3 linked regions of the Drosophila melanogaster genome follow. The protein of the gene in region 1 purifies or fractionates together with the protein of each later gene. This does not show direct contact. Each region holds a gene or a part of one and is shown in the gene's direction. Other genes may lie near its edges.

What was found.
Region 2: the proteins of wda (region 1) and Ada2b purify together in Drosophila melanogaster (affinity purification with mass spectrometry; 2 studies listed by BioGRID). This does not show direct contact.
Region 3: the proteins of wda (region 1) and Atxn7 purify together in Drosophila melanogaster (affinity purification with mass spectrometry; 2 studies listed by BioGRID). This does not show direct contact.

What each region holds. Positions count from the first base shown.
Region 1 is NT_033777.3:23,254,506-23,259,903, reverse strand, and holds wda (will decrease acetylation), read left to right. Parts: upstream 1-1,816; 5' UTR 1,817-1,904; coding exon 1,905-2,063; intron 2,064-2,123; coding exon 2,124-3,418; intron 3,419-3,495; coding exon 3,496-3,796; intron 3,797-3,856; coding exon 3,857-4,203; intron 4,204-4,280; coding exon 4,281-4,410; 3' UTR 4,411-4,834; downstream 4,835-5,398. Other genes in the region: Pex11c (peroxin 11c), read right to left, coding at 1-227, 923-994. UniProt on the Drosophila melanogaster protein: Component of the transcription regulatory complex SAGA, a multiprotein complex that activates transcription by remodeling chromatin and mediating histone acetylation and deubiquitination. The SAGA complex predominantly acetylates histone H3.
Region 2 is NT_033777.3:8,236,534-8,242,525, reverse strand, and holds Ada2b (transcriptional adaptor 2b), read left to right. Parts: upstream 1-2,010; 5' UTR 2,011-2,102; coding exon 2,103-2,216; intron 2,217-2,919; coding exon 2,920-3,795; intron 3,796-4,273; coding exon of another isoform or gene 4,274-4,343; coding exon 4,344-4,423; intron 4,424-4,490; coding exon 4,491-5,088; 3' UTR 5,089-5,412; downstream 5,413-5,992. Other genes in the region: CG9636 (uncharacterized protein), read left to right, coding at 1-136; PolI (DNA polymerase iota), read right to left, coding at 5,983-5,992. UniProt on the Drosophila melanogaster protein: Component of several Gcn5-containing histone acetyltransferase complexes that regulate nucleosome organization; involved in acetylation of histone H3, particularly on Lys-10 (H3K9ac) and Lys-15 (H3K14ac).
Region 3 is NT_033779.5:2,373,811-2,381,070, forward strand, and holds Atxn7 (ataxin 7), read left to right. Parts: upstream 1-2,030; 5' UTR 2,031-2,333; exon of another isoform or gene 2,334-2,453; intron 2,454-2,522; exon of another isoform or gene 2,523-2,862; intron 2,863-3,321; 5' UTR 3,322-3,391; coding exon 3,392-4,465; intron 4,466-4,525; coding exon 4,526-6,367; 3' UTR 6,368-6,696; downstream 6,697-7,260. Other genes in the region: CG15390 (uncharacterized protein), read left to right, coding at 946-999, 1,056-1,829.

The sequences.
Region 1 (5,398 bases):
ATGTTGGCCGTCACTCCCAGCACTTGCATGACGCGATCGGGCTCATTCTCGCCCAAGCCATACTCCAAAGCATATTGGATCATGGGTATGTCGTCGATGAGACGCAGTGTGGCTCTCGCACCTGAGATCCTTGAGCTGGCGGTGGCGTATCGCTTGGCTAGTTCCGGATTCCGCTTGGCATGGTAGCCAGCCACCAGTTTGGCACTGTAGCACAATGCCTTCATCACCTGAAATAGGTATTTAATTTCATATATGTAATAATTGTTCTGCGCAATTCGTTAAGCCGTGTGTTTGCTCTATCACGAGAGTTGGCATCGCTGTTTACCTTTGCCTCTACCTGACCCCAATCGCCAGTCAGCCCTGCAATTTGTGGAATTGCTTGGTTGTCACAAACAGATAAAATACTATCAGCGATAAAAAGAATACAACGAATGCCACAATCATCTCGTGTGATGGCCGCCAGTGGAGTGCTCCTGGTCGTCCGTCCTGGCCGGAATGAGTTGTGGGTGGTTTCATTGTTTACCCATTAATGGTTCAGTTTGCTTGCTTTGCCATCAATGAATTAGTTATGCAATTCGGAGGAATACTAATGTCGCTATACGACTAATTTATGTAAATATCCTATAGTATTTCCAAAGTTCGTGACCACCCCATTCGCTGTTTACAGCCACATAATATATTATATTATATTTTCAAATGGTTATCAAGTATAACAAATTATTTGTTCTAATTAATAAATCTAAAATACTTTGAACAATATTTTATCGTATTCAAGGTTCGATTTTTCTATTAAAATAGAGATACACTATACAAGATTCCCTCTTTGTCTGCACTGTATACACCCCTTGTAGGGGTATATAAACTCGCGATGGTGGAAATGTGTGGATCGCGTGTCTCCTGATGGGCGGCAGTCCAAACAAACCTTTCGTTCATAACGAATTATCCGCTTTATCTGGTAGCGGCTTAAAGGTTTGCCGGCTATAGTATTGAGCATTATCTTGACTCGATCGCCGCCGAACTGCGACTGATAAGCGAAAAGCGAAATACAAAATCCATTGCGAATCAGAAAGAAGTAAGGCAAGGTCCAAACTGCTGTGGCTTCCTTGTTCGAGACCCAAAGACCAATGCCAACATCGATGCAGCAACAACATGGAAACCTGTTGGTTCAGTTTCGATTTCAAGCGAGCCCCTCAATGGACCAGTCCAAAAAGGAAATAGAAACCAGTCAAAATGCCACGATGCATTTTTTTAAATTTGCGCATACGAATTGGGAAAAACACTCGGTTCAAACGTAAACAAACAGGTGTGTTTTCAATTAATTGGAAATTTACTCGGCTGTGCGGCTCTTCTATGTTACCTTATCTCGCCCGCCATAGGAATCGATAATATCACAGAACTCGTTCACAAACTTTGTCGTGGTGCCCATAATGGCTCGTTTTTTGAAGACCAGGTACTGTTTTATATCACGTAAAAACTCGAACTGAGATACCGCAGCGAAAATACAAGAAATTGTCAAGAGCGCTCGGGAATCCAACAACACAAACAGCTGACTTTCTTCAGTGGTGACAATAGCCAAATAAACTAGCTAAGAATAGAGAATATAATAGAGCTAAAAATAAAAAGCTAGTTAATATAAATAAAATATAATATAAATATAAGTTAAAAATGTAAAAATAAATTTAAAATTAAAATATTTCAATATCAATATTGTTATAAAAGAGAAGCCAAATAGCCATCACTGACGAAAACAATTTTGAAAGAACAGCTGTTGCAGCCGCTTAAAATCGATGAATGCACATCGATAGGACAACCCATCTCCGCTGTCAGCACTATAATCGAACGCATATCGGACGCACTGCAGGACGGGATCAGGATACGGAACAAAGCGAGGCTAACACGCAACGATGAGCCTGCCCAGCGCCAGCAACCACGCACATGCTGCATCGCCCGTCTACAGCAACAGCAATAACAACAAGTCGAGCGCGAGCAGCAAAAAGACCTCCTCCAAAAACGATTTGCTACGCTGCGCCGTGGGACTCCTGCTGAAGCAGAAAAACTACGTGGTAAGTGAATAATCTTCAAATATACAATTCCTCAGAGTGTTCAAATATTCAAACCCGTAGAGCAACGAACGATTTCGGCGGTCGGATTTTTTGCTGCTGCAAAACAAACAGCAGTTTGCTGTCAACAAAATGCTGGATACGGATTTGCACGGTGGCAATAGCTTCACCTTTTCAAATGTCCAGGTTATCACCAACAACCAGCACACTGTGGACCAGCAATTTGGTCGGTTTTCGCAGTTCGTGGAGGCCCAGGCCGAACCGCTGCGTCTGGAAATGAAGCGCTTTTATGGACCCATGCTGTGCCACTTCTATCTGGATCTGCTCAAGGCTCGCGAACCGCGTGGCGCTGTGGAGTTGTTGCGCAAATATGCTCACTTGGTGGCCCCCGTGGATATGTACGATGCACCACCACCTACCAAGATCAACGGATGCTCCACTACGGCCAATGAGTCCACTTTTAACATACGCTTCGCAAAGGAAGCCCAGGACACTGGGGACACGGAACTGGACTACTTTATGCGCCTGGTGCAAACCCTGAGTGGCTACACACGGCTGGAGGCAGCAGAGTCCGATGACACAGTGGCCCATTTTCGATCTTCGAAATACGAACTACATACTACAGCCGTAGTTGTTAATAGGATATGCGCTTATCTCCAACGACGGGGCCACGTTTTAATTATGAACCTACTCTACACCTGGTTGCATGTCCATATAGTGGAGAATGAGCAGCGCGCCTTTAGTGAGGATCACCTGCTTGGCTTGACGGATGACCTGGAAGGTGAGGATGGAGAGGACGATGTTGTTTCCAAACCAGCAGTAACCCTTAATACCCGCGGAGACATAAGACCAAGCAAATCCCTCACTGAAAAGTCGAACCGAAAACGACCCGCTGAGGAGCCAAACATTATGCTAGAAACAGACATCAAACAGGAGGTAGAAACGGATGAATCTGCAGAGCTTAGTAAATTACAACTGAATATAGACGCCTGCTTGGACACCCTTAAATCGGCCACTGAACAGATACTCAAGTCTCAGGTGGAGTTGCCGCGATTTCTCAGAATCAGTGAACGTTCTCGGGGCCTCACCTCCGCCCATCTGGATCCCAGTGAGTGCCACATGTTAGCCGGGTTCGACAATTCTGCCGTACAGCTGTGGCAGTTAAACCAGAGCTACTGCCGCGGCAAGAGCTTCTACAGACGCTATCCGCAAAAGCGGTGTCCCTGGGAGCTGAACAATTGCGCGAATCAAGAGGAGGAGACGGATGAGGACAGCAGCGATGAGGATGTCAAGTGCTCTGAGGAGGAGAGACGGGAACGCAACAGGGCGCGACATTGCAAATATGCTGATAACTCCTAGTAAGTTCATCTTCCAGGTTTAGTATTGGTTTTATTTTTCAATTTTTAATCAACTAAAGTTTTTTTTTTCTAATTAGCAACGAATACGGCGGATTTCAGCTGCGAGGTCACACAAAAGGAGTCACCGATGTGCGCTTCTCCGCCCACTACCCACTCATGTATAGTGTGTCCAAAGACGCAACCATGCGGTGCTGGCGTGCCCACAACCTGCATTGCGCCGCCATATACAGAAGTCACAACTACCCAATTTGGTGCTTGGACGAAAGTCCAGTGGGCCAATACGTGGTAACGGGTTCCAAGGATTTGAGTGCGCGCCTCTGGTCGCTAGAGAAGGAACATGCGCTCATAATTTATGCCGGGCATACACAGGATGTTGAGGTTGGTTTAACCAAAAATGTCTTTGAACTTTTAGTTATATATATTTTTTTTTTCTGACAGTGCGTTGCGTTCCATCCGAATGGCAACTACATAGCCACAGGATCGGCAGATCACTCCGTTCGCCTGTGGTGTGCAACCAGCGGAAAATTGATGCGTGTCTTTGCCGACTGCCGTCAGGCGGTGACCCAGCTGGCGTTTAGCCCAGATGGAAAGATGTTGGCTGCCGCCGGAGAGGAAACGAAGGTGCGTATATTCGACTTGGCCGCCGGAGCACAGCTGGCTGAGCTCAAGGATCACTCGGCGAGCATTAGTTCTCTTTCCTGGAGCACGCACAATAGGCACCTGGCCACAGCGTGCAGCGATGGTACCTTGCGATTGTGGGACATCAAGAAACTATCGCCCATGAGGTTAGTTATATTTGTGGAATGGAAACGGAGCAATTTGTTAATATTGGTAATGATGATTTATTTTGGTTGCTCCACAGTGACAACAGTAGTGCTGGAAGCTCATCATCAGCTACAACGAATCGTGTGCTTACTGTCAATAGTTCCTGCCAGCGCTTGGTCGATGTTTTTTACGGGACCAGCAAGACGCTCTACTGCATCGGCACTTAAAGAAGACGGTTGAAAGTTCAGCCCGAATTTAGACTTTCTAGTGACGACTTATGTTTGAAAATAATTTATTTTGTAATAAGTTGTATATTATTGTTACTATCGTGTGAAACAATTCTTTATATAAATAATTCTTTTGATTTAACAATCCTGGTAGCTTTCTTGTGGAATAAAACGAGTTGGTTACAGTGTAATGCCTTTACCTGCATCGTCTACTGGTCACAGCTAAAGAATGTCTTTCAAAACGAAGTCATGGCATAAGTAATGAGTGGCCAATTTCCACAAAAGTTGAAAAATGTGTAACTATTAAAAATAAGACGAGCATTCGAATCGAATTTCAATTGTTGAAGTGATTTTTTTTAATATATTAACATTTTACCCAATACCTAAAAATGTGCAAAACTAAATAAATCTAAAGGTAATATAGAATTTTTTGGTTGAATTTAATTAGCGATGCATTAAGAGACATTTTACTGTTCTTCAATAATTTAGGTAGTTTCATATAGGTTTAGGATTGTGTAAATACATTTATATACAGCTTGGAACCTCTATGATTTTGGACATACGCACAGCCCTTTTGAACAAAGAACATTGAACTTAATTTTTAAATAATGTTGGAGTGATCAGCCTTCTGATCGTAAGTTACATGCAATCAATGAATTGAACAACTATAATCAAATATCATAACTTATGTAAATGAGCTTGTCTACGACCCAGCGGGATGCAACAAAAGCTTTATCTTTATCCGGTTGGCTTAAATATAGTGACTTATACAGCGTAATAAAAGAGGGCAGAACATGAATAAATAATAAATAGCATGCATATGCTACGCATGCCGACAGCAGCAGTCTGATTCCACAGCGCACTGGGAAGTAGAAGGTCTAGTATCACAATGTCACTTTATTCAGACCTGAAAGTCTTTGCCAATAAAGTTGGAAGGTAATCCCACCGTGAATGCCTAATAGATCGAGGTTGCTGCTACTGCTGCTGC
Region 2 (5,992 bases), about 15 Mb from region 1:
ACCGAAGATGGAGCCTCGCAAGCTGGTTCGCTACCGGGACAATAAGATCGTATCGCTTAAGGGCGAGCGGTACACCGAGATTAAGCGTGACGAAGATGCTGAGTTAAAAAAACCCAAGAAGCAGATTCAACCGTAACTAAAGAGGAACAAAACCCTCTTCAAGTATTTTATCAAAAAGCAAATTAATACACACCCCAATAACTTATCCGCACCCACGAAAACGATCTTCGCCAGTAGCAGTAGCTGCAGATCCAACGTCACCAACAACAGCAGCCATCCCGAAATCGAGCACAGTGTGTGCAATCATATGCATATTGTTGGGCTGAGCGCCGCCAAAAGCCATGTCAGCACCTATTCCAGCTTCACCACACCAGTGATCCCCGCCAAGCTTAGCCAATGTTTAGACGCTTCCCAAGACGATGACGATGAGCAGCGAGAGTTTAGAGACAAAGACGAGACACCGAGCACAGCGAATCGGTTCCCATATCCGAGTGAGTATGGTGCAGAGTTTGTGGCATCTGCCGGCATGTTGGTCATACTGTTGCTAGTTGGCCATTGCCACAGGACCTTGAGCCCTCATCGCGCCAATGCCCATGACAAAGACACAAAGACTTTACATACCAAATTAGTTGATAGTTATGCTTTAGGACTACTCGCTTATGCAAATTTTGAGAGCCCATCCATCGCGGCCGCCTGCTTATGAGTCTCGATGCTGGGAGCAGGCGGTTCAGACGGATCTGGACATGGATCTGTTTCCGTTGCCAGTCGTCAATTATGACGACTGGGGTCGCGCCTGCGCTGTGACTTTTCCTTAGTTCCTTACGCAAGCGAATTCAAATCGAACCGTATCTGTGAAAATCGTGAATCTCAAACTCTTGAATGTCCTCGAACAGTATTGTTAAACATACTTCAGTCCCTAGGATCAGACGCAGGTGCGACACCAAAACCGAATTTGGCGCTCAAATAGACTTATTTAGACGTTTTTAGGTACTCGAATTGATAAATTTTGTTGGCCGTGTGCGTGTTTTTGAAAAGCGCAGCTGCACAAGTAACTTGCCATATCTGTTTAAGATCTGTTAACCCATTTTGTATCGTGTAACTCGTTTTGTTTTTCTCTGGTCCAAGCTAACTAGCAAGAGTAAACTAGCAACAATGCCACCAAAGCCACATGCAACACAAACTAGTCCTCACCGCCCACTGAGATATCTGGAACCCATAACAATTCGGCTACTGCTCGGTGTAAGACAGCAATACTAACAATAATATAAACGTATTCACCATATGAACTAATCGAATAATCAACTATTTATACAGCGTAGCCTACCCCAAATCCTTCCCAATGATTGTAATGATTGTAACCTACAATATCTCGGCAGTCCCACGCCCTATTCATGTTAGATGTAAGCAACCGAAATATTTTTCGGCAGTTATTACTTTTACACTTTTTGTTTGAAACAAAAGATATTTACCCATTTTATATTTTTTTTGTAACTCAGAATTTAGCTTAAGTTTTTAATCCTGACCACCGCTTAAATTTACGTATCGAACTGCATTTAAGCACATGAGTTTTTTATATTTTTATTCAGCACCACGCTACAAATGTTTCAACCATCACATATTCGTATTTATGTTTACCTTGTTTTGGTTTGATATGCACTTCTTTTATTTTAGTTTTATTTTATATATATTAATATTATTTTTTGTGATAATTTAAAAAAGGCAAAACACTCGAATTAAACTTTTAAAATAATTAAATAAACTACTATCAATATTTAACGCATAAACATTAGAGTTTTGAACATGTGCCTAATGTTTGAAATTTGTATTCTATATTTAATGTGTTGGTACTTTTGGTAAGTAGTATAATTTAGAAATTAACTATAATTCAGAGATTCAACAGAATTATGAAAATTAGCTAAAAAGGCTTTAAGACTAGCTATATAGGCGGCACTGTTCCGATGAACTGGTTCGGTTCGTTGGCCGTACATATAAGAATTCTCAGTAGAGCAATATGGCGTTGACTTCGCGTCTGGTCACATTACTGGCATAGGTTTTTTTCGCACAACTCATAATTGTCGTGAAAATCCAGGTTTTGGCCCAAAATGACCACAATCGCGGATTTATTCACAAAGTATAATTGCACAAATTGCCAGGATGATATTCAGGGCATTCGAGTGCACTGCGCGGAGTGCGAAAACTTCGATTTGTGTCTGCAAGTAAGTAACTCACACATACACGCCGTCGAGCGACGCACGTATACATGTTGCAGTAGGGTGGTTCGCTCTTTTTGAGGTTCTAGATACTTGTATATAGATTTGTAAATAATAAAAATCAGTTATTTTAACAAAATATTCTTGAATCACCCTCTTTGGATGGTCAAACTAATGGCCATATGGCCTCAATCCTCTAAATTAACGTCACCCAGATCTTGACAAGAAAAATATTTGCTTTAACTTTTTGTTAATTTAAAGGAAATTTGTTTATTGATTTTGGTAAATAGGTAGACTATCGTAGTTAATTTAATTAAAAATTACTTCCTTACGAATTAGCAGTGTCATTTTTATTTAGTTAAATGCCATAAATTAAAAAGAAAAAAATGTCAAAATAAGTGTCTGAATCTTGTATTAAAAAAAGGCCTGACAAAGCGTAAATTTAGGGAATATGAAATATGTTTCTGTTTTAATTTCCTAATCAAATTATTTTTATCGAGGAACTATTTACACGTTTTCTTTGTCAACATAATCGACCCACCCTGTTACACCCACACTCGTACAATCTAGAGATGCGTCGCCAATTTGGAACCAAAAACTGACTCATCTAGACATTCAAATAATACATACACACAACCGGCAATTTCACCATATTGATTAAAAAACAGCTGACTCTGTATTTATATTGTATTGTTTATTTTTTGCGCAGTGCTTTGCCGCAGGTGCGGAGATCGGCGCCCATCAAAACAACCACTCCTACCAGTTCATGGACACCGGCACTTCCATATTGAGTGTATTTCGTGGAAAGGGGGCGTGGACGGCACGAGAGGAAATCCGCCTGTTGGATGCAATCGAGCAGTACGGCTTTGGAAACTGGGAGGACATTAGCAAGCACATTGAGACGAAGTCAGCGGAGGATGCCAAAGAGGAGTACGTGAATAAGTTTGTAAATGGCACGATTGGAAGGGCCACTTGGACGCCGGCCCAGAGCCAGAGACCCCGCCTTATCGATCACACTGGAGACGACGACGCTGGTCCTCTGGGCACCAATGCTCTCTCTACCTTGCCTCCACTGGAAATCAACTCCGATGAGGCCATGCAGCTGGGCTACATGCCCAACAGGGACAGCTTTGAGCGGGAGTACGATCCCACGGCAGAGCAACTGATCTCGAACATCTCATTAAGCTCCGAGGATACGGAGGTGGATGTGATGCTTAAGCTGGCCCACGTTGACATATACACCCGCCGACTCAGAGAGCGTGCTCGCAGGAAACGGATGGTCAGGGACTATCAATTAGTATCAAATTTCTTCCGAAACAGAAATTACGCTCAGCAACAAGGACTCACCAAGGAGCAGCGCGAGTTTCGGGACAGATTTCGGGTCTACGCCCAGTTCTACACGTGTAACGAGTATGAGCGGCTATTGGGATCACTGGAGCGCGAAAAGGAACTGCGCATTCGACAGTCAGAGCTGTACCGATACCGGTATAATGGCCTGACCAAAATCGCGGAATGCACACATTTCGAGCAGCACGCCGCAACAGCGACGCACCGCTCTACAGGACCATATGGCCATGGCAAGACCGTAAGTTTAAGGCTCCGCAACAGGGGTGCCGAAATCGAACTAACCATTAAATATTTTATTTGGTCTTGAAAATCCGAACTTTTTGGAACTTTGTTATTTTTTTTTTTATTATTAAAATCCAAACATTACCTTTTCTTTCGATTGTTTCACAAAAATTAAAAGAGGTGTTAGGTGACCGGAACCGGTAGCTTTATAATTTTATCAACAATGAGTAGATTAACTTAAATTGAAAGAAAACAAATGATTTAAGTTGAATGTATAGATAAAAGTTTGGATAAATCGATTTGGAATACTTAATACAGAATATTAAATGGTCAAATTGGCTAGTTTCGATTTCATTCCCCTTGGAGTAAGCTTTTCCCACTGAGAATGCATGACGAGTTGAATATCGTGTGTTCTGCCTTGCTTTAACCGTCGTCCTTACCTGAACTGACCCAACTCTTACAATCGCTTTTCCGTCTTGTCTCACGATATTCAGCTCCACTGCATAATAAACGCGCCAAACAACGAGCGTTCGAATGGTTCTATAAGACAATGTTTAACCACAGGACCACACGCATACCTCCAATGGAAGTCATCGGCCGCCAAGCTCTTCCTTGCACTCCCCACAACCGAATCTCAGAAAGGTGTAAGTATTTTGGCAAAAAATTGCAATTACCTTAGAACTTGAATAATTCGGTTTTTCGTTTATTTAGCGAAATGTCAAGCGGCGGCGAGGCAAGTTCAAATTCAATCGCACCAAGAAACACGCTCCACATCGCCGACCCGACCTGCTCCGGCGCATTATTGCCCAGCAAAAACTACTTGGATAGCTGTCGGGGATCGTCGGCAGCTACGATGCTGCAGACGACGGGAATGGTAATGGGGGTAACAGTGGACTCGGGAGCGACGACGGGAGTGACTTCCACGGCTACGACGATGGCGAATCTGCCAACGAACTCGGCGAAGGGAAGCCAACAACATCTGCAGCCGCTGCAGCAGCATCCTCAGCTCCTGCAAAGCGGCAACCAGCACAAAATGCAAAACGAGGCCGCCGGCGGAGGCAGTGATCAGGTGCCCAGCATGAGCCTGAAATTGCGCACCCAGCTGGAGGAACTAAAACATCTGCCACAGCCGCCGGGCAGTGAACTGCTCAGTCACAACGAGCTGGATCTGTGCAAGAAGCATAATATTACGCCCACCACCTACCTCTCGGTTAAGACTGTCTGCTTGAGCGGAGCACCATCGTTGGGTAGTCCTATGGAGACTTCGCTGCGCAAGTTCTTTATCAAGTGCGGCTGGCTGAGCCACTGAACATCTTCCAACTTCCCGCTCCCCTTCGATTAAGAGCCACATGCATTTCCAAGGACTTCACTTTATTTTTGTATTAGTTAGAATAGGTTAAAGACATTTTTATACTGTTCAACTGTCGTTGGCATTTTCATCAAGGTAAAAACTACAAAACTGAAAATCAATTTACTTGTATCAAGTCAAGCTCAATTACAATAAGTGTTGTTCCTTTGTGTGAGATGTCGGGATTCAGATATTGTGTATTAACTAAGCTTAAGTAGGGGACCCAACCAATTGAATATGTATGATATGAATTGTAAATGAAGTAATAAATGTAATAGTGAATGTACAACAAGGACGCGACTTGTTTCTCGGATCTCACAGCTGGGAGACCGCTTTGGACTGAATGCCGCTAGGATATGTAAGAAGTAAGGTATTGAGTAAGCCTCTGATAGCGATAATACCGCGTTGAGTATTTATATTCGTATATTATTTCTTATGGTAGCTAGTTTTCTAGGCAAGATTCTGAACAATGCATTTGAACGTAATTCATTAAAGCCCATGAGAGCATGATAATCAATGTACTAGGCTGAGGAATGGAAAACAATGCTGGAAAAAATATATAAATATCTAATATGTTAACACATATGGAATGTTTTATAAATTAGCGAAGATTAAAACTTGTTAAATGAAAATGCGGTTATCTAATGACATTCTTCGGTATTATAAACTTAACAAAATCACTCATTCAGTTCAAGAAACCCACTAGTTATTTATCCTAGCTTATGTTCGTCCAATGCGGCACCCTAAAGCATGCACTCTGTAACCGTATACCTACAAAAATATATCATATATTTAAACAAATTTATTCTCTTTACCATTATAACTAAAAACGATGTGATGCTCGGATACACTGCATCACTTATTC
Region 3 (7,260 bases), on another chromosome or scaffold:
AATTGAACGCTTTATCTCACTCCCCACCGGCAGTTTATCCCATTCCAATTGTTTGAATGAAAATCGACCAGAAGTAGTTGTGCTATTTCACAATGTTATTGAGTTTGACCTTGTTTGAGCATTACTTGAGTTATTCTGGATGCCACCTGTACGGGAATTCAAAGTTATCACTGATCGAACGAGCCCTCCTCTCCTGGCCAATAGTTTCCTCATTAAGTAAAAACACTTGTCACGTTCGCTCTGATACACAGAGCTTTTAAGATTATTACAAAAATAACATTTTAATTCTCTTGATTAATTTCTGGATGATTTCCTTTTCAATATCAACAATTTATTAGTTGGGTTTTTGTGTATGGATTTATGTATATTTAAAAGAAATATAAAAATACATTTCACATCCATTTATAAATTTGATTTAAGCTTTTTCACTTGAATATAAATTTTTATCAGTGTATCGATCAGTTTACATGTCGTTTTCTACATACATATGTATGTATTTACTTGTACGGTTCCAAATGGCGACAAATAATTTGAATTCTTTGGTTAAATAAGCCGGGTAGTACTTAGTTTATAACATTAAGCTATATCTCTTTCAGAGTTTGATTATAATTATGCTATAGTTGAACTCTCACACACATGTATACACACATATGTACAAAATAAAGAAAAAAAACTTACGCTGAGCTTGTAGCAGAACTAAACGATAAAACTTTCCACTGTTGTTTTTTATGCGCGACAGTTCTATTTATAAACAATTTGCTGTGCACCCGACGAGAATAACAGTTCGATGCGTGCGATTTAATAGACAATTAAGCTATAGACGAATATGGTGGGTGTACCAGCTAAACATGCCGTTGTTCACGCTTCTCGGTAACTGTCATTGCAAAGAAGAAGAGATCAGCTGTTCATTGTTTTGCTCGCCGATTTAAGAGGACATCGCCAAAAATGTTGCGGAAACTATTATTTAACACACAAGCTGTATTAAAACAACAGTCAAACGTGAGTTAATCATGAATGCATTAGATAGAAATTAGATACAAATTGTTACTTTCCAGTTACATCACATAAGGCACTTGGCAACGCCCAAGATATTGCAGCTTGAACAAATTCACATCGATGAAGCCATCAAAATAGAACCCACGTTAGCTGTATTCTCACCTGAAATCTGGCGAAGGGCCCATCAAACTTTTCAAAACCACGGCTTGGAAACCGTGAATTTCCTTAGAATAGTTACCGGTAACCCCGCGATTTTGAAAAGAACGCCGGACAAAATAATAAGCTGCCTGGAAATCTGGAGGGCCTGTCAATTCGGCGAGAATCTACTGCACCTGCTCCTTACGAAGTACCCCGAGTTACTGGACGTTAGCGACTCCCACCAGTTACTTTCCCACATCGGCTTCCTTCAAAGTCGCGTCTCCACCAGCAAAAATGTGTGGAAGTGTTTGATGAACAGTCCGGATTTGATAGCACAATCCGAGGTATCTATTGAGGAGAAACTGAACTTCATCACAGACGTGATGCGCATAGAAGTGCCGGAGTTGGTTAAATCGGCAGCCCTTACCTTGTCATTCGAGGAGCTGCGTTGTCGCCACCAGTTCCTGCTTCGTTTGGGCCTCTTTAAGCCACGACCTCCGAAAGCCGATCCAAATGAGCCGACTACGAACCCCAAACTCTATCAGATTACAGACACTTCCGAGAAGAGTTTCGCCACAAAGATTTGCCACGTCACCCTGCCGGAATACGAAGCCTTCAAGGATCTCTACGCCAAGGAACTGGAGCAAAAGTCCAGAAGAAAGGAGGAGGATGAGCTTAGTGATGAAGATGACTAATGTTACGTTTAATTATGGTTATAGTTTGTGCCAGCAAATAAACGCTTGTAAAAATAGGAAATGTTAAGTATAGTTTTCTATCGCCTTTAAAAAGATTTTAATTCATAAATATATTCAACTGACTTTTCAGCGGAAATGCATGTAATTAATATATCGGCTACGTATGCAACGAATACCTGTGCGACTATCGATAACATATCGCACTTAATCTGCAGCTGCAACAAATACAACGTAACGTAACGAGACGCGAATTGCCATCCCTAAGCAAATACAACGATATTCATAATATCAATCTTTAAACTCGAAAAAGCGAGACAAACTAGAAAGCTTTAATTGATTTCGTTACAGAATCAATTAGGCTATACAACCAACTCGTCTTTTTCGAGTTGACCTGGCATTTTCCTCCACGGAGGCCGGCCAAAAATCCGATTTATCCACGGGTAGGGTAGAACGGTAACCTAAACCCACAAAAAAAACAACAAAACATGGAAGTGTGTTAACGACGTAAGTGTCATTTAATGCCGATATCATTCGGCATTCGACTAAAATTGCCTGCGAGCATTTTAAGTGATTTTTATTTTGTGATTTTCAATCGTGTGCTTTGTTTGTGTTGCATTGGTGTGGGTAAGTGCGTGAGTGTGCTGTGCGTCGGTGTGAGTGGCTGCGCATGTGTGCGGCAGTGCGAGCGAGACGGCGCCACTCGAGTAGCGGTTGTCAAAAACAGCTGATCCAGACCAAGGGGTGCGGGTACCGAGGGGTTGGCGCTCGCGGGGGCGGGGGCAGCACTCACCTGTAAGCTTTCGCTGAAAATTTACGATATCAAAAACAACAGTTTGTTAAATTTCGAGATTCATTCAAAAATGGCAATATACGCATAGAAATACTCCAAGACGTACAGTCTTCACACCCTCCACAAGTGGTTTGTGCAGTGTCCAATACTTTTCCGTTGCTAATAAAATCTATATATGTATGTATGTATGTATTCAGGGTCAGGGTCCTGTGGTCAATGGATATGTTGTATATGTATAAGTGGGTTCTGCTGATATCTATTCATTTAATTATAACGATGGTTCTGTTTATGTTAATCCTAACGTGCACCAAAAAATTTTAATTATAATATAAAAAAATAAAGAAAAAATAAATAATTAATTCTAAATGATTATTCTTGTTTTAATTTACCTTAAATCTAAATCTAATAAAGTTGTAATCTTCTTGAGATATACTTATAAGATTAAATTTGAGTTTTAGGGTTAAACACGCCTGGTGGTGATTCAAACCACGTACATATGTATATGTAATAGAATATACGAATTTATTGTATGAAAACTAGTGATGATTTTAACATGGGCATTTCGTAGGGATTCCGTGGTCCGGGGTTCATGGTGCATAGCCCCAGATTTTGTGTTTTTTATCAGCGATGAATTGCAGTATCAGTTAAAAGCTGTCACTATCAAAGTTTCTCTGGAACTAATAAATCAATCCTGTTTTGCAGGTGCTTTAAGGGGCAATTTTGCTCGAGTGTACCGAATCCCCGGATCCCGCGAGCACAGCTTCTATCCGGAATGCCCCTGAACGATGTGGCCCCCGCCGGTGGTGGAGCTTATCCGGAAAATGGAACCAAGCACAAGGTGTCGGGAATGTGGAAGCCGGACTCGTCGGCCGGCTCCAATTCCGGCTCGGGATCGGCGGGACTATCCCTGTTTAGCCTGCAGGGCCAAAAGTGGCAGCAGGTCTTCGACATGGAAAAGGTCATCAAGCAACTGCGAACGGCTGAGAAGACGTATCTGCGTGGTGGAAAGAACTCCTCCGCCGGCGCAGATCAACAGGCGAAGGTGCAGGTCCAGCGTCTGCAATCGGCGGACATGGCCTACTACGATCTGGCGCCGAAGCTGGCCAGTCGCGATATAGTACTCTGTAGTTCCTGCTCGGGATGTTACACGAAGGCAGGTTTCCAGCACCACATTGCGCTGCAGCATCCTAGCGTCTGGGAGGCCACATCCAGCAAAGTGAATCCCAATCCAAATGGGACAGCCATATCCAGCGACTCTCGTCTCACTGCCACGGAAATCAGTCAGGAGGGCGGGGCTATCGTGCCAAGTTCGCCCACGGATACGCTTTCGGCCTCGACGCTCTCCAGTTGCTCGAACGGGTCCAGCAGCTCGGCTTCACTGCAGCATCCGGCTGCTGCGGGTTCATCCAGCACCACGTCGTCTTCGTCTTCGTCGCGTCACAAGAGCAGCAGCAGTAAAAGTAGCAGTTCCTCCTCGTCTAAGGGCAGCAGCAGCACTTCCGCCGGAAGTAGGTCGCGTTCGAAGTCGTCAAAGAACCGCCACCACTCCTCGCCAGCTCCGGCCCTGCTGGAGTCCAATCACAAGGAGTCAAAGGGATCGAAGAAGAGTTCGGCCATAGCCGCTCCTCCCGTCGTCGCTGCTGTTGTTAAGGAGGAGCCACCATCTGTGGGTGCTGCTCCGGCTGCCATAACCATGTTCTCCTCCTCCAGCAACTCATCCTGCAGCTTACCGCCCACTCCCACGTTGGGAGCGGCCTCCAGCGAGGTGGCGATGGGGGTCAACTATTCACCTGCCCAGCTTCAGACGGATGCGGAAAAGCTGCCCGAGCTGCAGCCAAAGAAAAAGGTATTTCATATAATTGTGACTATAATAACTCAATGATACAATTACCGAAATCCTCTTCAGTTGAAGGGCTCCAGCGATCATCGAATAAAAGCGGAAAAGGAGAAGAACAAAGATAAGTCTCTGGTGAATTCCTACGAGCAGCAGCAAGTGCTCAGCGAACTGGACCAGGCAGTGTCTTCCATCACGGGAGCGGTTTCCGCCGAGCAGGTGGCGCCCGATGAGGAGGAACTGCCCTTGCCCAACACCTCCGACGAGAACTCCATTTCGCAGACGCTCGACGAAATGCTGGACAGCAAGCTGATCAACGAGATTCTGAATAACTTCGATGAGAGCGCTCTGGACACATCGCAACAGCAGTCACAACAGCAAGCGCAGAATGGATCGCTATCGCATCCCGCACAGGCCACTAAAAGGCTGCGCTTTGAGGACGGAACCATTGGCGAGGATTACGCCGTGTACCAGCAGCAGGCGGTTCAGCAGGTTTATGGCGAGGAAGAGCATCAGCAGGAGCTGACCACCATCGATGCCATGCAGTTGCAGCAACTGATTTACCAGCAGCAGCAGATGCTCGAGCAGCAGCAACTGCAAGAGCAGCAGCAACAGCAGCAGCAGGATCAGAAGCTTCAGGATCACGAGCAGCAGCGCCAGTTCAGCGTCTACAACGTGCCGTCTCTGACGGATGAGGCAATGGTCAATCCACAGCAACAGCAGCTGGAGGAGCACATGATCCTGCCCAGTATTATATACGAGATCACCGAGTCGAATCCCGTTTCCATGCTGGAGCAGAAGGTCTTAGCCGAATTCCTAACCAACGCGGGCTACGAAAATGTGGACGTGAATGTCGTGCAATCGGGCGGCATACAAACCAACTTGAGTTCTGGAACGGAGGCAAACCAACTGGCGGATGAACTGGCCGACTTTGAGTTCAGTAAACTGGAGACTGTTAGCGACACCGTAAAGACTGTTAAGCTGGAGGCCAAGGCCGCCAGCCAGCCACCCACAACAAATCCTCAAATCAATCACCATCCATCGCTGGCCAATGCCAAATACCACGAGGACAGCTACTTTAACGTGATGCTGTACTCCGGAGCGCCTCGTCCCTTGGCCATGAACACGTTTGGCATGGTGAAGTTGCCCCAGGGCCTGGGCGTCACCTTCCGCAAGAATCTGTTGACCACGCGGAAGGCGAACAACAATTTGCTATCCCTGTCGGGAGGTAATCACCTGGGCGTGGTCGGTCAGCTGGCCCGCACACCGCCGCCGCCCTCGCCAGCGTTAAGCAACGGTCTGCCGGGTAAGAATCCCGCCTCGGGCAGAACCATTTACGCTCAGCGATCGAATGTCATTGCACAAGATCGCCTGAGGTGCAATAAGAGGGCGCTGGTAGGAGGAAAAGCTGGTGGTGGATCAAGCGGATCGCCGGGAGTCATGACAGCCAAGCGTTTGAATGAACTGCTAATGGGAAAGGCGAAGAAGGAGGAGAAGCCACCACCGGATAGCGAGGATGGCGGCGAGCAGCCGACGAAGGACAAGGAACGCGACAAGGAGGAGGACAACAAGCTGACCTTCAGTTTCTACGAGAAACGCCGCCGACTGTTGGCCGGCAAGCTGGAGCAGCTGCAGCCCCTCGGCCGCCCCAGCTTCACCCTGCCGCTCCAGAGCAACCACAACGCCAGCCAAAGTCAGAGCCACTCGCCACAGCAGCTCCTCAAAAAGCAGCTGCTGCGCACCTTGTCCGACAGCAGCAGCAACATGAACATCAGCAACATGAACAACATCAGCAATTTGAACAGCAGCAACACTCCCAGCGCCAACAGCAATCCTCCCTGGAAGGGGAACAGTTCCAATCCGGGAGGCAACTCCACTCCAACCAGCAGCGACTTGATGCGCGTCTTCGTCTGATCTGAACCGATGGGGAAGGTCAGATGTGCGGACACGCATCCCTAGTTATATGTTTATACAATACCATGCTATTATGTGCAGCCTCTTCTCTAATGCTAAATTAAATTGTAATAATTTTTTAAATTAATTCTTCATTTTTTAAAAGTGATAATTATCTTTTAGTTATCTATTAGTTGATTGTATGTAATTCTTTGTTTATTCTAATTAATTTAACAATTATACATATTATTTTTCGTGGCTAAGCATTATGCTAGGTACTCGTAAATCATTATTTATACACGCTGTAAACTTTTTAAATACAAGAGCATGCCTAAGTTCAATTATACTCCAGACCCAGCGTTGCCTCATTGTGTATATCTTCCTCCAAACGAGGAGCAAGTTATGATTATGTTCCATGTGTTGAGAACAGTAACCGGCGAGCGAAGGAAACCAGCTTAGCCTGCAACGGCATAGTCGACTGTTCTGATGGATCCCATGAGCTGGCACAGGTGTGTGGAAGTGGAAGATAGATTTCGAGGCAACGGCACTGGGTAAGGAACATTGCAGTGGCAAAGGGTAAGGAACAGTGCAGTGGCTGTGGTTAGCCGAAATGTGGGATCCGCCGACCATGTCGGTCAGAAATAACATAAATTGTCCGGAATAGTGTGAAGCCATTCAAAAATTCGTATTAAAATAACGGTCTAAATGGTTTACGAACACGCTAACAATATCTATCGAAGCTTAAAACCTTATAATCCCTACGGTATGCGGCACAACTATAGATATCCTTAAAACAAATAATCACTAAAACGATTAAATAAGTGCCGAATAAATAAGTTACAATTTAAAAGAATATTTTATTGTGTTAAAATTAATTAAGTAATTGTAGTTGTATCTAAGTGCATTACCTATTT